Linked DNA regions of Astyanax mexicanus. The protein of the gene in region 1 interacts with the protein of each later gene in a biochemical or structural test. Links are inferred from orthologs where the notes say so. Each region holds a gene or a part of one and is shown on either strand. Other genes may lie near its edges.

Region 1 (10,257 bases):
AAAGTTAGTATGTTAGCTAGCTCGCTGCTTAAGTTATTATGTTAGCTAGCTCATCGCTAAAGTTAGTATGTTAGCTAGCTCACTGCTTAAGTTATTATGTTAGCTAGCTCATTGCTATAATTAGTATGTTAGCTAGCTTTCCCCTAAAGTTAGTATGTTAGCTAGCTAACTACTTAAGTTAGTATGTTAGCTAGCTTGCTGCTAATTTTGGTTAGCTTGCTGCTAAAGTTAGTATGTTAGCAAAATTTCCACTAACCTTAGTTCTATCCCTGGTAATATTAGCTAGTCCGCTTTATCTAGCTAAAGTTAGTATGTTAGCCAGCTCTCTGCTAAAGTTAGTATGTTAGCTAGCTCACCGCTAAAGTTAGTATGTACAGTAAATATGTTAGCTAACTCGCCGCTAACGTTAGCTAGCTTTCCGCTAACCTTAGGTCTATGCCTGGTAATGTTAGCTAGCTCGTTTAAGCTAGCTAAAGTTTGTATATTAGCTTGCTCTCTTGCTCTAAAGTTGGTATGTTAGCTAGCTCGCTGATAAAGTTAGTATGTTAGTTAGCTAGCCGTTATTGTTAACTAGCTCTCTGCTAACCTTAGTTCTATGCCTGGTAATGTTAGCTAGCTCGTTTAAGCTAGCTAAAGTTAGTATGTTCGCTAGCTCTCTGCTAAAGTTAGTATGTTAGCTAGCTCTCTGCAAATCTTAGCTCTCTCCTTGGATTAGATGTTTACGACGGGCCACTGTGTTTTCCCAAAAGCATTATATGCACCATCTGAAAATGTAATACCTACAGCAAATTTATAGTAAATTTAAGGTAATTCATAGACCTTAATTACCCATATTTTTGTTTATAACATAATTTGAACAGACAAACTTGTCCTTTACACTGTGCCAAATGTATTAATGAACAGACCAATAGAAACACTTCAAAATGTTCTAAAAATGAACTTTTTTATATTGACGTCCATTGAAAGTTTAGAAGGTTTTTTTTATCTCTCCTGTAAAGTTGCTTGTTTGTTTTGAATACATTTGTTTTTGATTGGACAGCAATGATATACAATACTCTTGTGCTGGCTGCTGATGGATTTGGGCCTCTGTTTTTAACCCAGCCGTGCAGTGAGCATTCACACCAACACTAGATTATAGGATCATCAAAGGAAAAGGAAGACATATAGCAAAGCAGACATGACAAAACCATGCTCATCATCGATGATACATAATTTAACAGACATACCATCATCATGTAGTACTTTGATGTATTTTATGTTTTTGAAAATGCAAGCTTTTAAGCTGCTAGACAAACTTTTAAGAAGGAGTGTAAGTATTGTCTCCAATAAACAAACTGCACTATTGAAAATCTCAAGCTTTTGTGCATCATCATGTAAAAATATCAATATCAATATGTGTGTCATCAAAAACTACCTAAAGAAACTTAAATAATAAGCTTAAATAATAATAAAAAAGGCAAATTATGGAAATACTACAATAGTCAAAGTGCCCAATTGAGTTCTAGGTAATAACTGGACATACATTTTGACTTCATGAAAATACAAAACATTTACAGTTGACCTGAAACCTACAATACTGTACAAAAATGTACAATAAATCATCATGACCTTCATTGTTCACCTTCTTGCTGACATTAATTATGTTTAATTGCATGTTTGCTTGCATACAAATTAAAATCTTAGGTATTTTAGCAGGTTGTGCAATGACCAGTGCATCAAAAACAGCACATCCATACACACAGAACAGTCTTTATTAGGGAAAGAAATAAATAACTAAACATTTATTGCTTTTAAAAATGTGTTATTGCAATATTATTATTCTAGTATATTGCCAATATGTTAGTGGCTTTAAATGACAAGTACTATGATGTATTGCAATTATTTCTGGGGCGATATATTGTCCAACAAAATGAGTAATTACGCACTCATTCACTTTACCAGCCTTAAGCTATATACCATATTTGCACTACTGTTATACGGGTTCTATTTATACTGTCATTCCATCTCAATCTCCATCAATATTAAACTATTGTCCTCCGTCTTACGTATGTCTATTGTGTTCTTGTTGTATTGTACATATAGTGTCTCATATTCTTTTATATTATATGTATTATTTCTTTTTATTTATATTTATATATCTTATTTCACCCCCCACCACTACTGCACCTTGTTTCTGTCTCATGTATGTCTATTTGTGTCCCTGCTGTATTGTACACATACATGGGTGTCTCCCATTCCTTCTTTTATTATATATATATTCTGTACCTGCTGTAAAAATTGTGGAGGAGGGTAATGTAATTTCAATTCTCTGTATGTCCTGTACATATGCAGTATTGACAATAAAACTACTTGAATTGACTTGACTTGACTTATATGTGCAGTATTAACATTAGGACAGTGTATGTAAAAAAACTGCTATAGTATAAAAAGATACATGCATTTATAATATATGTGTAAAAAATAATTTAACTTTTTATCAAATCTCAATTGCATGATCTAATGACCAAGTCAGAGTTTAGCACAAACTAAACAACTGTCTAAAACCAATCTAACAATATGAACTACTAATTATTGTACAAAAATCTATACTGTGTTTTTAAAATTGATACAGTAGTGCAAAAGAAAATATTGCAATACCATGGAATATTGATCATTCTTATGCACCTAATTAGCGTAGTAAAAATAATATGTTAGCCTTATATTTATACTAATACCAGTATATAATAACATCAGTGAATTACAGGAAACAAATGTGATTATCTGTATGGTATGTCAGCTACTGTAAATGCAGAAGATATAGAAAGGAAAAAAAATGTTGCGGTCAATTTAAGATCATCGCTTGCTAAATATGCACCATTACTCCTCAGTGCAATTCTCCTTCAGGTTCTAATTTCTGGGTGTGTTTATGAGTTCATCTGTCCCCCCACCTCAATCTCAATATCATAAAATCTATAAAACACCAGCTCCCTGTCTCTCCATGGGAGTGAAGAGCAGAAACTGAGTCTGTTGTCCATCCCAGGTGTCTGACACACAGGCAAAGAATGCTGTGCTGCAGTGATGAGCCTTAACCTCCCTCTCACACCCAGCAACTAAACTAAACTAAAGTCAAAAGTCTTAAAACAGGCAAACTTCTATTATTTAGTGGTCAAAACTGTGGAGGGTCCACTTAAAGGTGTTTTGTGAAATTGTCAAGAAAGATGTTCAACGAACATTTTCTTCTAAAAAAATGTATATATATTTTATTTTTGTGAAAGTTACTCAAAGCAACACACTTTAATGAACATTATTAACATTGTCCATAACATCCTTATATAAAAATATATATATATATTTACATATACAAACAGGAAAACTTTATCTAACGCAAATATGTTATTCTTTTTTTACACAGGAGCATTGCAGAGAACAAAGGGCATTGCAGTACATTCGTAAAAGCCCGCTGTGTTATTGCTTGGTGGAGTGAGGTTAACCAGTGGAACACTCAGTAACCCACAGACCTGTGGTTTTCAGATTCAGCCACGAGATTTCAGTACACCACTGACACAGCAAACCAACCAGTGTGACGTTTTGGATGTTTTGCCTCTACTTTCCATCATGCTTATTAGTTTGTTAGATTGCAGTCAGGCTAAGAAGATAAGATAAGAACTTAAGCCGTCAACTTCTTGTTTCACAAATGTGTGTCTCTGAAATTCTGAGCAATGTATCAACATATAATCTAAATATAAATTAAACGTAACATGACTTACCTCTGGTGAAGCAAGACTGATAGGAGGAGAAGGTCTCGAAGATGCTGTTCGAGGCCATGGCGAGTGGCTGCTTCTCAAAAACGCTGTCCTCCTCTTCACTGGAGTCCAGCGCCTCCAACTTGACTTGGCTCCTAATTTTGAAGTTTGAGTCTGTGCTGCTGCTTTGCCCTGGAAAGACCAATGGTACAGGCATGGTGAGTTTGTGTAAGAAGGTGTGCATGGTCTAAGAAACGATCAGTAAAAAAAAAGTCTATAGACTTTAGAACCAATGGACAACCTCCACTACACAGTGCTCCCTAAATAAACTGAAAGTCTACAGAACAAAATCCCTGGGTTACACACCAACGCCCACACCCTCAACACCCTCAAGTCCATGGTCATCCAGTGATGGTCCGGTCGTGGCATCAGGGCAGTTGTTGTGTCCTTGCGTGTTGTGCATGGTTGAGAGACACTGCAGATAGTGATCGGCGGTCAGACTGCGGTCGACTGATGCTTACCCTTGTGCTAAAGAGAAGGAGTAGAAATGTCGCGCTGTGGTTTCTGTCTCTCTCTCTCTCTCTCTCTTCTCTCGCTCTCGTTTTTTTTTTTTTTTTTTTAGTAATCCGGGTGATTCACACTGACATCTGACATCAACACGTAGACTCAGCACTCTCTTCTCTCAGTTTCTTCTCTCTTTCGTTTTTAATCGTACGGTCCGGTCTGGTCCCCCCGCTCTATCTTTATCTCACTTTTCTCCAGGGCTCAGGGAGCCGTGACTGGTGGCAGTTTTGGTTTGTGGTTGTGGTGGCCCACAGAATAGCGGCTCCCAAGCCAAGTGACAAGTTTAACTCTTCCCTTCTATAAAAAAAAGCAACCTAACCCTAACAGCTCAAGCTCCATTGGGCCGCCACGGTCACATGGTCCGCTGTGGTGCAAATTTCATTCTGACTTTGTGTTTAGAGGTTTCCCTTTGTAATACGGGCACAGCACAGGCTCTATCAGCAGCCCTCACTCCTCTACGTTCTCTTGGAGGAAACTGATGTGTTTTTTCGTTTTTTTGCTTTTTTCATGCAATAGTAATAGTGTAAAACAGGGCACAGCAGGTGCACACAGCAGAAAAAAGCAGTACAGTTCAGACGAGTTCAGAAGAGAAGCTAAAATAACTGCACATGACTGTTTGTGTAAGAAGAGAATCTACAGCGCAAACAGAGTCTAAACATGCAAATCTCTCTCCAGGAGAGCACACAATTAGCCCTGTGTCTGTAGCAGCATCTGACCACCTCAGCTTGTCAGAATTTACATGTCATCTTTTCATATCTCTTTATCTACATATTTTGCACGAGAAAAGAAAGAGTGTGTTTACTTACAGTAGCGCGGTTCAAAGAGGATTGCATGTGTGTTCAGTCAAAAGGCAAAAATATATATTTATATATGGCTGAAATAACAAAAAAAGATGCAGAGCTTTTAGATCTCAAATAATGCAAAGAAAATAAGTTTATATTCATAAAGTTTTAAGAGTTCAGAAATCAATATTTGGTGGAATAACCCTGATTTTAATCAGTTTTCTTCATGCATCTTGGCATCATGTTCTCCTCCACCAGTCTTACACACTGCTTTTGGATAACTTTATGCTGCTTTACTCCTGGTGCAAAAATTCAAGCAGTTCAGTTTGGTTTGATGGCTTGTAATCATCCATTTTTATTTAGTGAAATCAAATATATACATACATACATACCATATAGCCAAAATGTCACACAATATTTTTTAATCTAATTAATGCATCATGTAATAAAATATTATAAAAAAGATTTAAAAAAAATTATATTACCATTTTTTGTCGCAATATGCATCAATATTAATCCAGTTTATATGTATTGTAATAAAAAAAGAGTGGATTTCTATTCATTCTGAAGATTTTTATTGGTCTGTTTCTAAACTGACATGGTTTGGTATAGTAGTTACAATATGCAAATTTTAAGAAATACACCAAATACGCCAACATTATACTTCTTAATTTTGGCAATACATAAATACAGTCATTTTGATGTCGCTATTAAACTGCCAAACCTGCTCACAACTAATTTCTGTACTGTTAAAAGTAATTGACAATTTATGTAAGTAATGCAATTTCTCATTAATATTAGATATGTATATAAAACACCCAATTGTCTATCATTAATACTATATACTGATATTTAAATTATTTTTTAGTCATATACGCATATAGGTTGCCCTCACTTGCTGCATATCTGGCACACAAACTGAATCCTATAAGATGTTTATTCTATATAATTTCAGTCCACATTATTTAAAGCCAGTTCCACAGGTGGTGTGTAATGCATGCCAGAGTATTGCCCACATCAGGGCACTGTCCATCATCAGGCAAAACCAGCCATTGTTTAGGTCTAATCGTGTGCAAAGAACACCACGTCCACGAGGGCCTCCTGCAAAAAGCCTCCAAGCCCATTATATCATCCTCCGACACCTGCGTCCACTCCTGTCCCCTACCCGCCCCCTGTAACGAACACTCGCAACACCTCCACCTGCACCACACCTCCAGCACATGCCGAACACACCCACACCTGTGCTCACTTTTACACACAGTAATTTAGGCGTTGGGGTCAAGTATGGTGGGGCGGAGTGTGGCGGTTCGCATCGGCGTGCATGGCCAGCTGCTACCCCACCCACACTGGACTCAGATTTCAGACTCAGACGCAGACACACTCCGGGGGCAAAATACTGACGTTTGTAGAGGGAAAGTGGATCTGTGTGTTTTGCCCTTAATTGTACATTTGATTTATATGATAATGGCACTTTTATGTTTTACTCTAAACTAAATAGGTGAACAAATGGTGCAAATTGTCAGTAAAAAATATGTAATGAATAAAAATTAGCACTGAAAATATATATATGTTACACCTGTAATGTCATTAGCATCGTAGTATATATCATATCTGTTTCATTTAAGAGTTTGTCATTTCACCAGCCAATGTAATTTTCCCTGTGAAATTAAGGGGAATTATTATACAGTATTATACAGTATATCCAAATATTGAATTTACAATGTAAAAATATCATAAATATAACATATATATTATTTTTACATTGTAAATTCAACATATTAAAGCTATACAGAAACATGGAATTATTCTGTGAACAAAAAGTGTTAAACAACCCAGAATATGTTTTATACTTTAAATTTACATTTATCTTTGAGTTCAGATCTGCACACTCTTGGTGAGATTTTAATCTCAGTGTCTTCATGAGGGAGAGTCACCTGGAATAGTTTTCTCAACGTCTTGAAGGTAGGAGTTTCTGGAGGTGCTGACCAATAGCTGCTGCTTTTCCTTCACTTTGCTGTGAAGCTCCAGCTCATCCCAATTAAATCACCTCAAATCAATTTTTTACTGTTTACTACATAATTCCATATGTGTCCCTTAACTATTTACATGTTTTTCAATATTAATCTACAATGTAGAAAATACATTAAATAAAGAAATAAAGATAAAAACTTAATGACAAAGTGTGTCCAAACTTTTGCCTGATACTGTATATACCGTATCTTCCTTTTGATTCATTTAAACTGTAATGCACTTTAATGGTCTTTACTGTCCACCCAGGAATCTTGGGATATCTGCATCTTTAAGAAAGCAATCTTTGATGTTGGTGACATCACAACCTTCACACTCTTTTATTTCTAAAGGACTGAAGACACTTACTGAATATCGTCGCTGTCCAATGAAAAACACTTATCTCCAAAACAGCAACTTTACAGGAGAGAAAAAAACCTTGTGAACTTTTAATGGAAGTCAATGTAGAATTAGTTTATTTCAGGTCATTTTGAAAAGTTTCTTTTGATCTGTTCATCAATAAATTTGGCACAGTGTGAGAGAGTTTGTCTGTTCAAATTATGTAGTAATCTAAAAATCGACAGAAAAGGAGATAAGTGTTTTTTATAGGACAGCGACGATATTCAGCAATTAAAAATATTAATGACACTTAAAATTTTGTCTCAATTTTTAGCGAAGGTAAAGATTGTCCACCCTGATATGGTCTAATATCATGGTAATTAAAATAATGAAAAATTAAAACATGGAATTAAAGGTCAACCACATTTTCATCACATGCATGCAAGTGGAAATATAAAACTGTTTAGATTTCTGTATTGTAAAATTCTGTTCTGGCAAAGGAATTTTACAATAACGCTACATGAATAAAAGTGCTTTAAACAGTAATAAACATTTTAATGAATGTTTAAGCAATATCGCAACTAATTATTCAAGTTACCATATATTTTAGACTATAAGGCACAATTTTAATAAGTGTCTATTTTCTGGTTTATTTTCATACATAAGGCGCACCAGATTATAGGCTGCATTAAGTGACACTAGTAAGGATGCCTACATCGAAGTGAGTACAGGTTTCGCCATGTTTCTCTTTTAATGGAGAAGCTAGAGAAAAAAAAAAGGCTAAGTAAACAAAACTGTATTTTAAAAACATATGAGTGCTGGATGTTAATCTAGACAGATTTCTCTGCTGAAAACTGTTTATTTGGGTGAGTAAAGGGCTTCAGTATATTGACAGTAATCTTACATTTCCAGTATTTTGTGCAAGAGTGTATTACTGAATTTTCAGTGAAGGTTCTCCAGCACTAAGGCTGGGTGCAGCAGCATTAGCATTAGCTGCTAACCACAGTGCTAGTGGGACGTAAATGCTGTAAATGTGTTTCGGTAACCCAGAGTATTATCAGCTTTATACAGAGCTTGTTTTAACATGGTAAACACAAAGACTACAGTCCGAGCTAGTGTTAGTGCAATGTACATAAATTAAGGCACACTGTCCATTTTTAGGAAAATTAAAGGATTTTAAGTGTGCCTTATAGTCCGAAAAATATGATAACTGTGGAACGGTTGAAACTCATCATTATTAAACATTAAATTACAGATTTATTTCCTTAAAATTGGATCATTTCACTTAGATCTTCACTTCACTAAGATTAAATTTTTTTTGCTGTGTAATAAATTGTAATGCTTTAGAATGTTGTAAATACTGTTGAAATTGTATGAATTGAGATATTATTGAACATTTTGCAATTTTTAATAATTTCTTAATCTCTACTCTCACTTCATAATTAGTTTAGTCATTAAAAATATACATATTAATTAATGTTAAGTTTTAAAAGAATAGGTTTGAGGGCACAGTATTCTGATAATAACTATGCAATATTTCTGACATGGCTTAGAGGCAGCATATGTCACTGTATGTGAGATGAGATAAAGCAGAAGTTTGAGATCATCGTGAAGATATATAGAGTAGCTTCTAAAGAAACAATGCTGACATCATGCAGCTGCAGCTTCCTTTAACCTCCAGTTTCCGGGGAGATTCGGGTTTTAGGGTCAGACAGGGTCAGGGGGTCATCCAGCCCGCAGTGCATCTGTCTATAGGGCTAGTGCTACTGTGTGTGTCATATTACAACACAGTAAAAACAAGTTTTACTTTAATAAAAGCTGTTTATTCACCAGCAGTCTGGATTGTTTAAATCATTGTGCTGCTTAGTCTGAAAGTAGAAGAACCGTCTCAGTCCCACCTATAAAAGCTTCTGCTAGAATGGAACAGCGCAGGGTCCATCTGCTGGGCTGCTGTTTGATATCTGGGACGCACAGCTGTATAAAAGAATACACGTCCCGCTGGGTTCCCACGACACAGCGAGGTGCTGTGCTTCTGGAGTTCCATTTTCCCGTCCTTTAGAGAGCATTGCTAGCGTAGCTTTCTTCATGAACACTGAAAGAAGACTAAATATAGATGGAATTCCTTCCTTAACGAAAAAACTAAACTTTTACATACCAGTAATAGACTTTTTATCAAATAAATACATGTTACACACAGAAAGAATTACTAGACAGAACTGAAACTTGGTGAGTAGTTGTGTCAGACTGTGATGGAGTGAGGTCCAGCACAAACATATGCTCAGGTGCACTATTCCAACAGGACAATGCTTGTCCACATACTGCTGCTACCCCAAGAGCTTATATTAAAGAGCCACTAAATTCTAAACCATATTTTTTCCACTTAAAGATGAAATGTGTTTCTTTGATTAATAAATCATACCAGTTCTGCTTAAAATTTCTATAAACATTTCCTAACCTTTAAAAAACCCTTTTATTGTGGTAATGTCTGCCTCAGCAGCGCCCTCACAGGTTCAACTGTGCTATAGGCGTAAAAAAGGTGTCCGTGTAACTTGGCATGCAGACACATCACAATATGAAGATCAGTTAATCAATAATTGTATATCAATAGACATTCTAGCATCTGAGTCTTACCGCTTTCAGAGACACACTGCTGCTGCTGCGGCTCAGCCAATCAGCTCTCCCTCTTGCCCCGCTTCTAAACCCATACATCACCCAATGCCCTTCCCAAACTATTCCTTTTATTTTATTGCCTTTTTTAAATTTAAGCTGAGGGTGGGGTCAGCTAAAATCAGGAAGTTTAGTGTCCCTTTAAAGACTAAACATATGCCATGGTAAGCTTTGCT
Region 2 (11,004 bases), on another chromosome or scaffold:
TTTATTCTACAAACTACAGACAAAATTTTTCCTAAATTCCAAAAAATAGTCATTTAGAGCATTTATTTGCAGAAAACGAGAAATGGCTAAACTAACAAAATAAGATGCAGAGCTTTCAGACCTCAAATAATGCAAAAAAAAAAAAAGTTCATGCTCATGAAGTTTTAAGAGTTCAGAAATCGATATTTGGTGGAATAACCCTGGTTTTTAATCACAGTTTTCATGAATCTAGGCATGCTCTCTTCCACCAGTCTTACACATTGCTTTTGGATAAATTTATTTAAGTTCAGCTTGGGTTGATGGCTTGTTATCATCCATCTTCCTCGATTATATACTAGAGCTTTTCAACTTGGTAAAAATCAAAGAAACTCACCGTTTTTAAGTTTAGATTTAAGTTTAAATTAAATTAAATGTATTTTTTAAGATGTTTTTTTTATACGTTTTTATAGTGGATATTTAAATGTAAATAACAGAATGAATGTAAAAAATGTAAAATGCAATTATATTTGTATTAGTGGTGTCAATTAAAATACTAGTATATACTTGTGTGTTTAAGGTGAGATAAAACCAACATGGGGTGCTGGAATAAAGAATGCCTGACAAATAGGATAGAAACAAACTTTTTTTTGTACTTTATTGTACGAAACATCTCAGCTTGGTTCTAGGCTTTTCTAAATTAAAACCTTATTTGCAGAGTATAAAAATCTCAGGAAGTGTTTGGTTTTGCACATACGCTCACCATGTAGTAACTTAAAATTGTTGAACAAACCAAAAAATACTTTTCGATGCTGTACACTTGTGGATTCTGAGGCTGGTAACTCTGAGGAATGCATCCTATGCAACAGAGGTAACGCTTGCTTTTCCTGTCTAGAGGCAGTCCTGATGAGTGCGAGTTTCATCATATAGTTTTTGATGGTCTTTGCGACTGCACTTAAGGATACTTTCTAAGTTCTAAAAATATTCATTTGAGATTGACTGACCTTCATTTTCTAAAGTAAAGTTTTTTTTGTAACTTAGTTGAGTAGTTTTTGCCATAATATGGATTCGAACAAGGACTCTAATAGAGCTATTCACTGTATACCAACCATACATCTTCACAATATTTCAGTGAGAGGGTTTCTGCTAATGTCTGCTAGTGTCTGTGCTAATCAGTGTGTAACTCTTTAAGTGGTTCTGTTCAGGCTTACAAAACCTTGGCGCTTTTTTTGATCCAGCCTACTTTTGCACTATTGGTTTACGGGAAACTATGCTACTTCACAGACAATGTTATCAACAGAGGGAGTTGCACAGCAGCCCTTTTTTATTCTCTGGTTCTTATGGACACTTTAATAATCATTTCTTTGCTTTTAATCACCATGGCTACAGATAGACGGCATTCTTGCCTGGCATTATGATAATGAACACATTTGGGCTAAGGTTGGCCATTAATAAGTTTATTAAGTTTCAGTTCACCAATTACACATTTGATTTATTCTTTAAATCTTTGAGCCTAGTGCATCTCAAACTTTTTAACATTAACATTTTAATATAAGATTATAGTAATTATGGCTTTTGGAAAAATGTGTTTTGGGGAGGGCGGGTCCCCTCATATTACTTTTTCACTTTTATACTTTAATTAGTTCTGAAACAACAAGTACTTTTATACTTTCACTTGAGTAAAAATCTTGAGTTGATACTTCAACTTCTACGTAAGTATTTTTAAACCCCAGTATCTATACTTCAGCCTGAGTAAAGCATGTCAAGATTGGGGAGGGAAGGTGTGTAGGTGTGTGTGTGTGTGTGTGTGTGTGTGTGTGTGTGTGTGTGTAGGTGTGTTACCTGTCTCCACTGATTCAGTCTCCACTTCCTGTTCCTCGGCCACGTCCTGTATCAGCTCTGCATCATCAAACACCAACACCTCGTCCACACACTCCTCCACCTGCTCCACCACCACGTCTGCGTAATCACACACACCATCATACACACCGTCCACCGCACACACACCCTCCACCTGAAACACATGAAAAGAGAAGAAGTAGAGAAGTCTGAGAGGGGGAATGTTACAGAATCGGATTTTTGTCTTGTCTTGTCTTGTCTTGCAATGAAAAAACTCCAATTTAACAATATTAAGAGAACACTGAACATTTTTATTTCAAGCAGACGTACCAGACCAATACTTTTTACAATTACAAAAGAGCTCTTTTAATTTGACTAGTCATACAGGATGAAGACAAAGAAAGAATTGGAGAGAGAAGGTAGATTAAAGTAGCTAACTTTATCTTACATTACACACCTTTCACAGTTCACAATTGGTGAGAATGGGTGTGCGATATGGCACTAAGATAATATGACAAATTTTCAGGTTATTTACTTTTGGCAGTGTGGGCAGTGTGCCAAATCCTGCTGGAAAATTAAATCTGCATCTCCATAAAAGTCATCAGCAGAGGGAAGCATGAAGTGCTGTAAGATTTTGTGGGAAAACAAAACTGCACTGACTTTAGACTTGATAATAAAACACAGTGGATCAACACCAGCAGATGACATGTCTCTCCAAACAAACCATCACTGATCATCAGTAAATTTTACATTTCTTTCGAAAATTAAGGGAGAGTCTGGAGGAAGAGTGGAGAGACACACAGTCCAAACTGCTTGAGGTCTAGTGTGAAGTTTCCACCGATCAGTGATGGTTTGGGGAGATGTAGTGATAGAAGTGTATTAACTTTACCTGCTGTATATCATCCACTGCAGTAATGTACTCCACCACCCGTCCCCCACTGTCCACCAACACCACCGATGTCATCACCGACCTCCACCTTCTGAGAGAGAGAAAAAGAAAGAGAGAAAAGAGAAAGAGAGAAAAAAATCAGTAAGTGGCTTCTCAGGTTTACACCAGACAGCAGTTTAGCCCACCCATTCAATCAGCCTACAGCAGTTTAGCCCCACCCATTCAGCCTACAGCAGTTTAGTCCCACCCATTAATTCACCTAAAGCAGTTAAGCCCCACCCATTTATTCAGCCTACAGCATTTTAGCCCCACCCATTTATTCAGTCTACAGCAGTTTAGCCCCACCCATTTATTCAGTCTACAGCAGTTTAGCCCCACCCATTTATTCAGTCTACAGCAGTTTAGCCCCACCCATTCAGCCTACAGCAGTTTAGTCCCACCCATTAATTCACCTAAAGCAGTTTAGCCCCACCCATTCAGCCTACAGCAGTTTAGTCCCACCCATTAATTCACCTAAAGCAGTTAAGCCCCACCCATTTATTCAGCCTACAGCATTTTAGACCCACCCATTTATTCAGTCTACAGCAGTTTAGCCCCACCCATTCAGCCTAGAGCAGTTTAGTCCCACCCATTAATTCACCTAAAGCAGTTAAGCCCCACCCATTTATTTAGTCTACAGCAGATAAGTTTACTCATTCTACCTTCAGCCATTAAGCCCCACTCATTTATTCAGCCTACGGCAGTTTAGCCCCACCCATTTTTTCAACCTACAGCAGTTTAGCTCCACCCATTTATTCAGTCTACAGCAGTTTAGCCCCACCCATTTATTCAGCCTAGAGCAGTTTAGCCCCACCCATTTATTCAGCCTAGAGCAGTTTAGCCCCACCCATTTATTCAGCCTAGAGCAATAAACTATATAGTAAAGTGCATTAATGTATTAAACCAGTTTAAACTGCATTACACTAGCTATGAAAGAACAGTGTTTACACTGTATATAAAATGCAATTAACCAAAAAGTGTTAACAAGCAGTTAACTGCAAGCAGTGTAAACTCTCCTAATGTGAAACCGGATTAAATCTGCTGTTTACAGCTTCTGCTGGTCACTTTATGAGCATTAGCCTGTTAGCTAGCACTGCAGCTAAAGCTAAATAGCCCACAGCTGAGCAGAGAGCAGCCCCAGGGCTAGGCTAAGCTAAAGCAGCCCTCTCCCCGCTGATGGAGAGCCCTGTGAAGAGTGCAGGAGTGTGAACAGGTGAGTGGCGAGTGTGAACAGCGCTCACTTTACCTCAGTGCTGCTCTGCAGAGTGAGTTTCAGCTGCACTCTCTCAGGGTCTCTCTCTCTGGGAGTGTGTTTATCTGGACCTGGAGCTCCGACCCCGCGCGCCGCTCACTCACCCCCCGCTGACCCTCAGCGCGGAGGGCTCAGAGTGAGGGGACACACCGCCGAATTGAAACACGAGCCGCCGAGGCTTAATCTAATTTAACGAGTAATAAGAAAACTCCTCTACGACTAAACGCAAATACACACTCACATATATTATACACACACGCCGGTGACGTTCCACAGAGAGCGACTGCGCCTGCGCCACAACCCCTGCGCTTGAAATGAATGAGGGCGAGCTCCGAATTGCAGACACGTCCCCTAGTTAGGGCACTTAGAAGGGAGCTTAGAAGTTTACTGCGGCCATTTTTGCGGTCTTGTTCCAAACCGAAGTGATTAAAAAAAAATACACTGGCTAAGACCTGAGATGTAAGGTACAGTAACGAAGTAAAAGTACTGAACTACTGTACTTAATTATTAAAATGCTGTATCTGTACTATACTGGAGTATTATTATATATTTTTTCTTTTAATTTTTTTAAGCTCTGAATCTTTTTCTGCACAGTTTATGTTCGTCATTCTCTAGTCCTGTGTCACTGATTACAGGATGCTGCACACAGGATACTGAGTTAATGGATAATTCTGAGGTCAGCCATGACACTGAGGTGTTTAAAAACTCCAGCAGCACTGCTGTATCTGATTCCGCTCACTCGTACCAGCACTACACACACTACTAACACACCACCACCATGCCAGAGCAGCTATTCAGATATCTGGGGTTCAATAAACAGTCAAACACATCATATTAACTAACAGTTTATTATTAATGTACTCTCCGACTAAACACATTGTAACACAGAGTCTACAGAGTCAGAGAGCTTTGAGAACTTATAAATTAAAACTGAAACTCCAACAAGGATCAAATGTTCATGCTAAACTGTAACGCAGCAGATATGTCCACTGAATAGTTTTTTTTAAACAAATTATGTACTCATGTTTTAAATAATTTTGTAACATGGTGAGATGCAATAAGGTAAATGGGAAACAAAACATATGAATATGGTAACAAAGTAACATGGTAACAGTATAACAGTATTTTTTTCATATACTGATTTATTTAAGTAAGACTGACAATGTAACAAGGTAAGATGTAACATGGTAACAGTTACAAGATAGCAGGGTAACATGGAAAGAAAATAACAATCAAAGCAGGGTCAAGTAACTAGGTAACAATATAACAATGTAACAGGATAATGAAGTAACATACTAATATGATAATGGAGCAACGTGATAACAATGAAACAAGGTAACATAGTTCAAGATAACAAGGTGAAAATGTAGTAGGATCATGTAACAAGGTAACAGAATAGGTAATAGAGTACCATACAATTATAGTAACAGGGAAACAACAGGGTAACAATCTAACAAGGTAACAGGGATAATATGAAAACTATGCAACAAGGTAACATAATCACAAAGAATCAGGGTAACAAGGTAAGAGCATAACAACAAAACAGAAGAGTAACTGGGTAACAATATGATAAGATAGCAACGTAACAAGGTAACAGAGTAATGGAGTAGCATACTAATATGTTAATAGGGCAACCTGCTAACAATGAAACAAGGTAACATAGTTACAAGGTATCAGGGTATCAGTGAGCCGGGCCATGTAACAGAATAGGTAATAGAGTAACATAAAAATATAGAGTAGCATTCAATTATGGTAACAGGGAATCAACAGGGTAACAAGGTAACAGGGTAATGGAATAGCATACTAATATGGAAACAATGTAAAAAAGGTAGCATAGTTACAAGGTTTAAGGGTAACAGTTTTAGGCTAACAGTGTTACAAGGTAACCGGGTGGGTAATAAAGTAACTATATACTAATATAGTGTAACATACTAATATGGAAACAGGGTATCATAGTAACAAAGTAACATAGTATCAAGCTTGACTGTTTGACTCCAGGTTCCAGAAGTCAGTTTTCTTCACATCGCCCTTGTGTCCTTTTCATCTGCATCTTCAGCTAGACACACACACACACACACACACACACACACACAGACATTATTTATACACAATGATCTGGGACTCACTACCCACTAATATTTATCAGGCAGCAATTTGGATTTGATTATACACCAAGTGTCTGAAAACTCTTCTACTGAGTAAGTCCTACTGATTTAGGATTCCTAACTACAGTCTTGTCCACACAAATTGTGCACGAGTTTTTTTAAAACGTTTTTTTTTTTTTTTTTTTTTTTTATTATTGTATCTCCATTTTGTATTTCTGTCCACATGAAAATGGCTTTTTCAAAATTATGTTTTGGAAAATGAAGTGTAATGGGATGGAGTGATACAGACTAGTAGCTCTCCATCACAGAGGGTTGTTGAACCCAAATGCAGAACAGTTGGTCTTAAAGCATTACCTGCTTTAAGACCAACTGTTCTGCAATTGGGTACTACTAGTCCCAAGAAAAAAGGAAAGATTATTAACACAGCTCCTCAAACGGGATAGAACCTGTGTCGTCAGGGTGTGTCGCGGCCTATGGCCTACCCCTGGTCTAGAGAATCCCTTTTGTCTTGTGTCAACCTGTGGATATTCTGGAAAAGTTGCATGCATGCTTTACTACATCAGTGAAGAAGGAAGGGGACGGGTTTACTTTTATTAAAATGCTGCACGTGTCGGCTAAGACATTTTTAAAAACCTCCTCTATTGAGGTCCGTTGATCTGTAGAGCAGTGAAACTGTGTTCTCTGGAATGATGGTGCTCAACCCAATACTTTTGGGAAGCATTGAAGAGACGGAACTAGTCATCCACCTTCATTACCTGGCCTTACTGATGCTAAGTCTATGAAGTCTATCCACATACTTTTGTCCATAGAGTGAATTTTACTAACCCGTTTTATCCTTTCAGTTACAGTTGCCTTTTATGAACCAATCAGATCACTCCTCTCCACTTTTCCACCACCAATGTAAATTTTAAGATTCCCATTTTAAGATTCCAGAGACATATGGTGAGCCCATGTGGTGTTCACCTCTGGAACAGCTGGTTAAATAGCTTGATTGTTACAAATGCATGTTGCACGAATTTAGTGCTGCTGCGACATAGTTAAATAGATAAATCTTAACATCTGTTTGTGTTAATCCCTCTGAAATATCAATATCAAATATTAAAATATAATAAAAAACACACCTCCAGTCTCCTCCACAGACTCCAAGGCTGCTGTGTAATCCTCCAGGCAATCATCCTGCGCTGTGTTCTCCTCCCGACCAGCAGGGTACATTATGGACTGTTCAGGTTCCACGTTTCCCCCATATAAGGTGTCCTCCAGACCAGCATTATGGAATGGGGAGGTTTCAGGACCCTCAGCACCCTCTAAACCAATGGGAGAGTATTCGTTTTCCACATGTCCAACATGTGAAGTGTCCTCCAGACCAGCAGGGGGCATTGTAGAGGCTTCAAGTTCAGCATGTTCAGAGTGTGAGTCAGAACACTGATAGCAGTGCGGTATCTCCTTGTTGGAGGTCGCAAAATCTTCGTAAACTTGCTCCAGCTTGACTTCCTCGGCCAAAACCACCCTCCGCTCCTCTGCTCGCCCAATGGGGGGCGCTAGTGCTGCTGAGCTGCTCTCGTCCCCCACTGAAGCAGCAGCCATCTCTGCCACAGAACTGCTAAGAACCTTCACAGCGTCCAGAACCTCCAACACCGGAGCCACTGCAAGAATATCATGCCAGGAGTGAAGTTAAAGTGATGAACATGTCTTGTCTCTGTTTTTAAGAGATAAATACCTTTTCCACCAGGGGGCGACACATGAACACATTTTTCACGAGAAGCCAACCTTGCTTGCAACATGGCGGTGAAGTAGTGACTATTGTTGATTGGCTGTTATTTTGATGCTAAGTGTTGATTGGCCGTTTTTTCTGGTCGCTGTTGTAGTGTTAATTTGTTGGCATTCTGACTACTTAGTGCTTAGTGTCTAATTGCTGAAGCTTTTGACTACTAAGTGTTAATTGGCCAGTATTTAGACAGTTAAGTGTTGATTTGCTAAAGCTTTTACTACTGAGTTCTGATTGAGTAGAGTTTTGGCTACTAAGTAATGAATGGCTGGTGTTTTAGCTACTAAATGCTGAATGTAAGCATTCTCTCTACTAAGAGCTGATTGGATGGCATTCTAAGTACTAAGCATTGATTGACTTTTTCTGTTTGCTGTGTGTATATTGGCTAGTGTTCTGACTACTGAGTGCTAAATGGCTGACATTTTGTCTACTGAGTGATGACTGGCTGACATTCTGTCTGCTGATTTGCTATGGATGGCATTCTAAGTACTAATTATTGATTGGTTGTTTTTCTGGCATTCTGGCTACAGACTGTTGATTGGCTGACACTCTGGCTACTGAGGGCTGATTGACTAGTGTTCTAGGTACTGAGTGCTGAGTTCTAGTCTTCTAAGAGCTGTTTTGCTGATGTTGATTGGATGTTACTGGATGTTGATTGGCTGAAATGTTGACTACTAAGTGATGATTGTCTGGCTACAGAGTGATGCTCAACTAGTGTTCTAGCTACTTCTTTTGTTCCATCTACTGATTATTAGATAGACTAGACAATTGGCTGTTGTCATAAATTCCAGAATTCCAGTGATACTGACTACTAAGTGTTGATTGGCTACTGTTCTAACTGCTGAGTTTTGATTGGCTGACATTTTGTCTACTGAACGATGACTGGCTGACATTTTGTATACTGAGTGCTGATTGGCTGACATTTTGTCTACTAGGTCCTACATATTGTCCTACATATAGGGTCGGTTTCCCAGACAGGGATTGAGCTTGGAATATACATCATTTTAAATGGAGCTTTCTCAAAGAAAGGAAAATTTAGTCTAGGATTAGACTTAATCACTGTCTGGAAAACCGACGTACAAACCCTAAAACCAGGCCCAATAACCCAGCTTAACTGATCTGTGGAGGCGGCACTGCTGTTGTACTACCTTCTGCCACTAGATGTGAGCAAACAGCAAGTAATATTGTACACATAGGCTTTAGTAGTGTAGTAGTGTAGTCACTCTGTGTGTGTGTACAGAAAAACTCTGCAATGGTGATATAGATAAATGAACTTTATTTAAACAAGAATAAGCTTTTAACTTAAGAAGAGTGTCAGATCTACTTGAACCAGAGACTGTAAAAATGAACTTACAAAAGACAAACTAAACTTATAACGCTAAGAAAAAAATGGCAGTGACCCCCAACTGGTTAAAAAAGGCCATAATTGGCTAATTCTTTTTGGAATGCTTCAGAAAAGATGTAAACAGAATCAGTCACTGTGGTTTGCTGTGAAACACCCCTTTCTAGATAAACGTACCCAGTCTGAATTCTTCCAAGAAGAAAGCTCCCTCCAGGAAAGTTATTAAACCAAAAGCCTAAAGCTTGAGACTTTGGGTATAAAACATGTTTTTACGATTGTGTATCATAAACCTGGTGGAGGGATACATATCCAATATGCAGGGTGATGTATGGCAAAAATAGTCCCTAAAGAAAACTGGATTTTGTCAGATTTTACACTGTTTTACTACGTATAAACCTCAGAAGACACATGTAAGTTGACTGCTGGGTTTTTGTATAGTAAATAAAATGGTTTTATTTTTGGTCTAGTGATGGCAAACAATGCCTGGACCCATTTGTAACCACTGTAAAGACAATTTCACACCAAACCCCAAATCTGAATGAGTTTATCTTACATTAAGTTGTGTGTAAGGCACTGGGGTAGAACTACTCTATTTCACACACTAGAGGAGAGAGAGAGAGAGAGAGAGAGAGAGAGAGAGAGCAGCAGTTTAGCCCCTCCCATTCAGCCTACAGCAGTTTAGCCCCACCCATTAAGCATAGAGAAATTAAGCCCCTTCATTCAGCCTAGAGAAGGAAAGCCCCATCCACTCATGCTTCATGAGTTAATCCCACATATTCAGTCTACAGCAGTTTAGCCCCACCCACTTAGCCTAAAGCACTTTAACCCGCCCTCATTCAGCCTACAGCAGATTAGCTCCACCTATTCTTTTTTCACCCAGCCTTTTTACCTTCAGAGGCAGGACCAGTACAACCAAGGACACCAAAATACCACCATACTGGTAGAGAAAGAGTAGAACTGTGCCCTCTGCTGTCTGCCTTTGAAAACGTTTCTCTTTTAGCCTACATTTTGAACCAAAACAGCAGGGGGCGATGTGATAACTCTCCTCCTTCTCCTCCTCCTCTACAGACATAACACCGCTACTGTACACAGGTCTCTAAATGATCATTGCAGGGGTCAGGTGGTCTAGGGAGCTGGGGCTTCTTCTACAGCAGGCGGCTCACCCGTTGCCTCGGCTGCTTCCATGGCCACGCTAACCAGATCTTCAGCAGCCTCTTTGACTTCAGGGGGCGGTTCTGTTGCTATTGCAACCACTGTCTGAGCAGCTGGCTCTTCTGTTGCGGAAACATCCGCTGGGAGGTTAGGCCCCGGGTCGGAAGCCTCTGACGCTGCTTCAGTTGCAGATTCCACGCTTTCCACAGCCTCAGACACTGCGTTTACTGTCATCACCTCAGCAATGGAAGCTGGCTCATCTGCTGGAGCTGAAAGGAGTTAAAAGGAAATGTTTAATTTATAAATTGCTGGTCATAGAGAGGAATAGAAGAACTAGAGTGAAGGACATCTTAGCCTCTTAACTTCTTCCTGACCTTACTGGCACTTGAGGCACAATGACTACCACATGTAACTCATGCACCAACCCTCTAAACTAATTCTGCTAGACTGCAAGCACAATTTCTGCTTCCCATTTAAATGCAGTTCTAAAACACACTTATTCAAAACACTAAACACAATCTTCTGCATTTGGCACAATTTTCATGAAGAAACTGTTGTTCACACAAAATCTAAGTTATTTGACTCGTCACATGGGCAAACACCTGTCACACAGGTTTGCAATTAGCAGTCAGAGCTTTAGCATTA

Evidence for each region.
Region 2: the proteins of runx1 (region 1) and elf2b form a complex in vitro, tested with the Homo sapiens proteins (2 studies listed by BioGRID and IntAct). The link is inferred for Astyanax mexicanus from reciprocal best matches to the Homo sapiens genes RUNX1 and ELF2.

Annotation. Positions count from the first base shown.
Region 1 is NC_064428.1:5,711,921-5,722,177, reverse strand, and holds the start of runx1 (runt-related transcription factor 1), read right to left. Parts: upstream 4,540-10,257; 5' UTR 4,186-4,539; coding exon 4,089-4,185; intron 3,915-4,088; coding exon 3,747-3,914; intron 1-3,746.
Region 2 is NC_064432.1:4,451,009-4,462,012, reverse strand, and holds the start of elf2b (ETS-related transcription factor Elf-2b), read right to left. Parts: upstream 4,292-11,004; 5' UTR 3,990-4,291; intron 2,796-3,989; 5' UTR 2,780-2,795; coding exon 2,705-2,779; intron 1,991-2,704; coding exon 1,819-1,990; intron 1-1,818. Other genes in the region: mgarpb (protein MGARP), read right to left, coding at 6,014-6,051, 7,222-7,743, 10,371-10,628. UniProt on the Homo sapiens protein: Isoform 1 transcriptionally activates the LYN and BLK promoters and acts synergistically with RUNX1 to transactivate the BLK promoter. Isoform 2 may function in repression of RUNX1-mediated transactivation.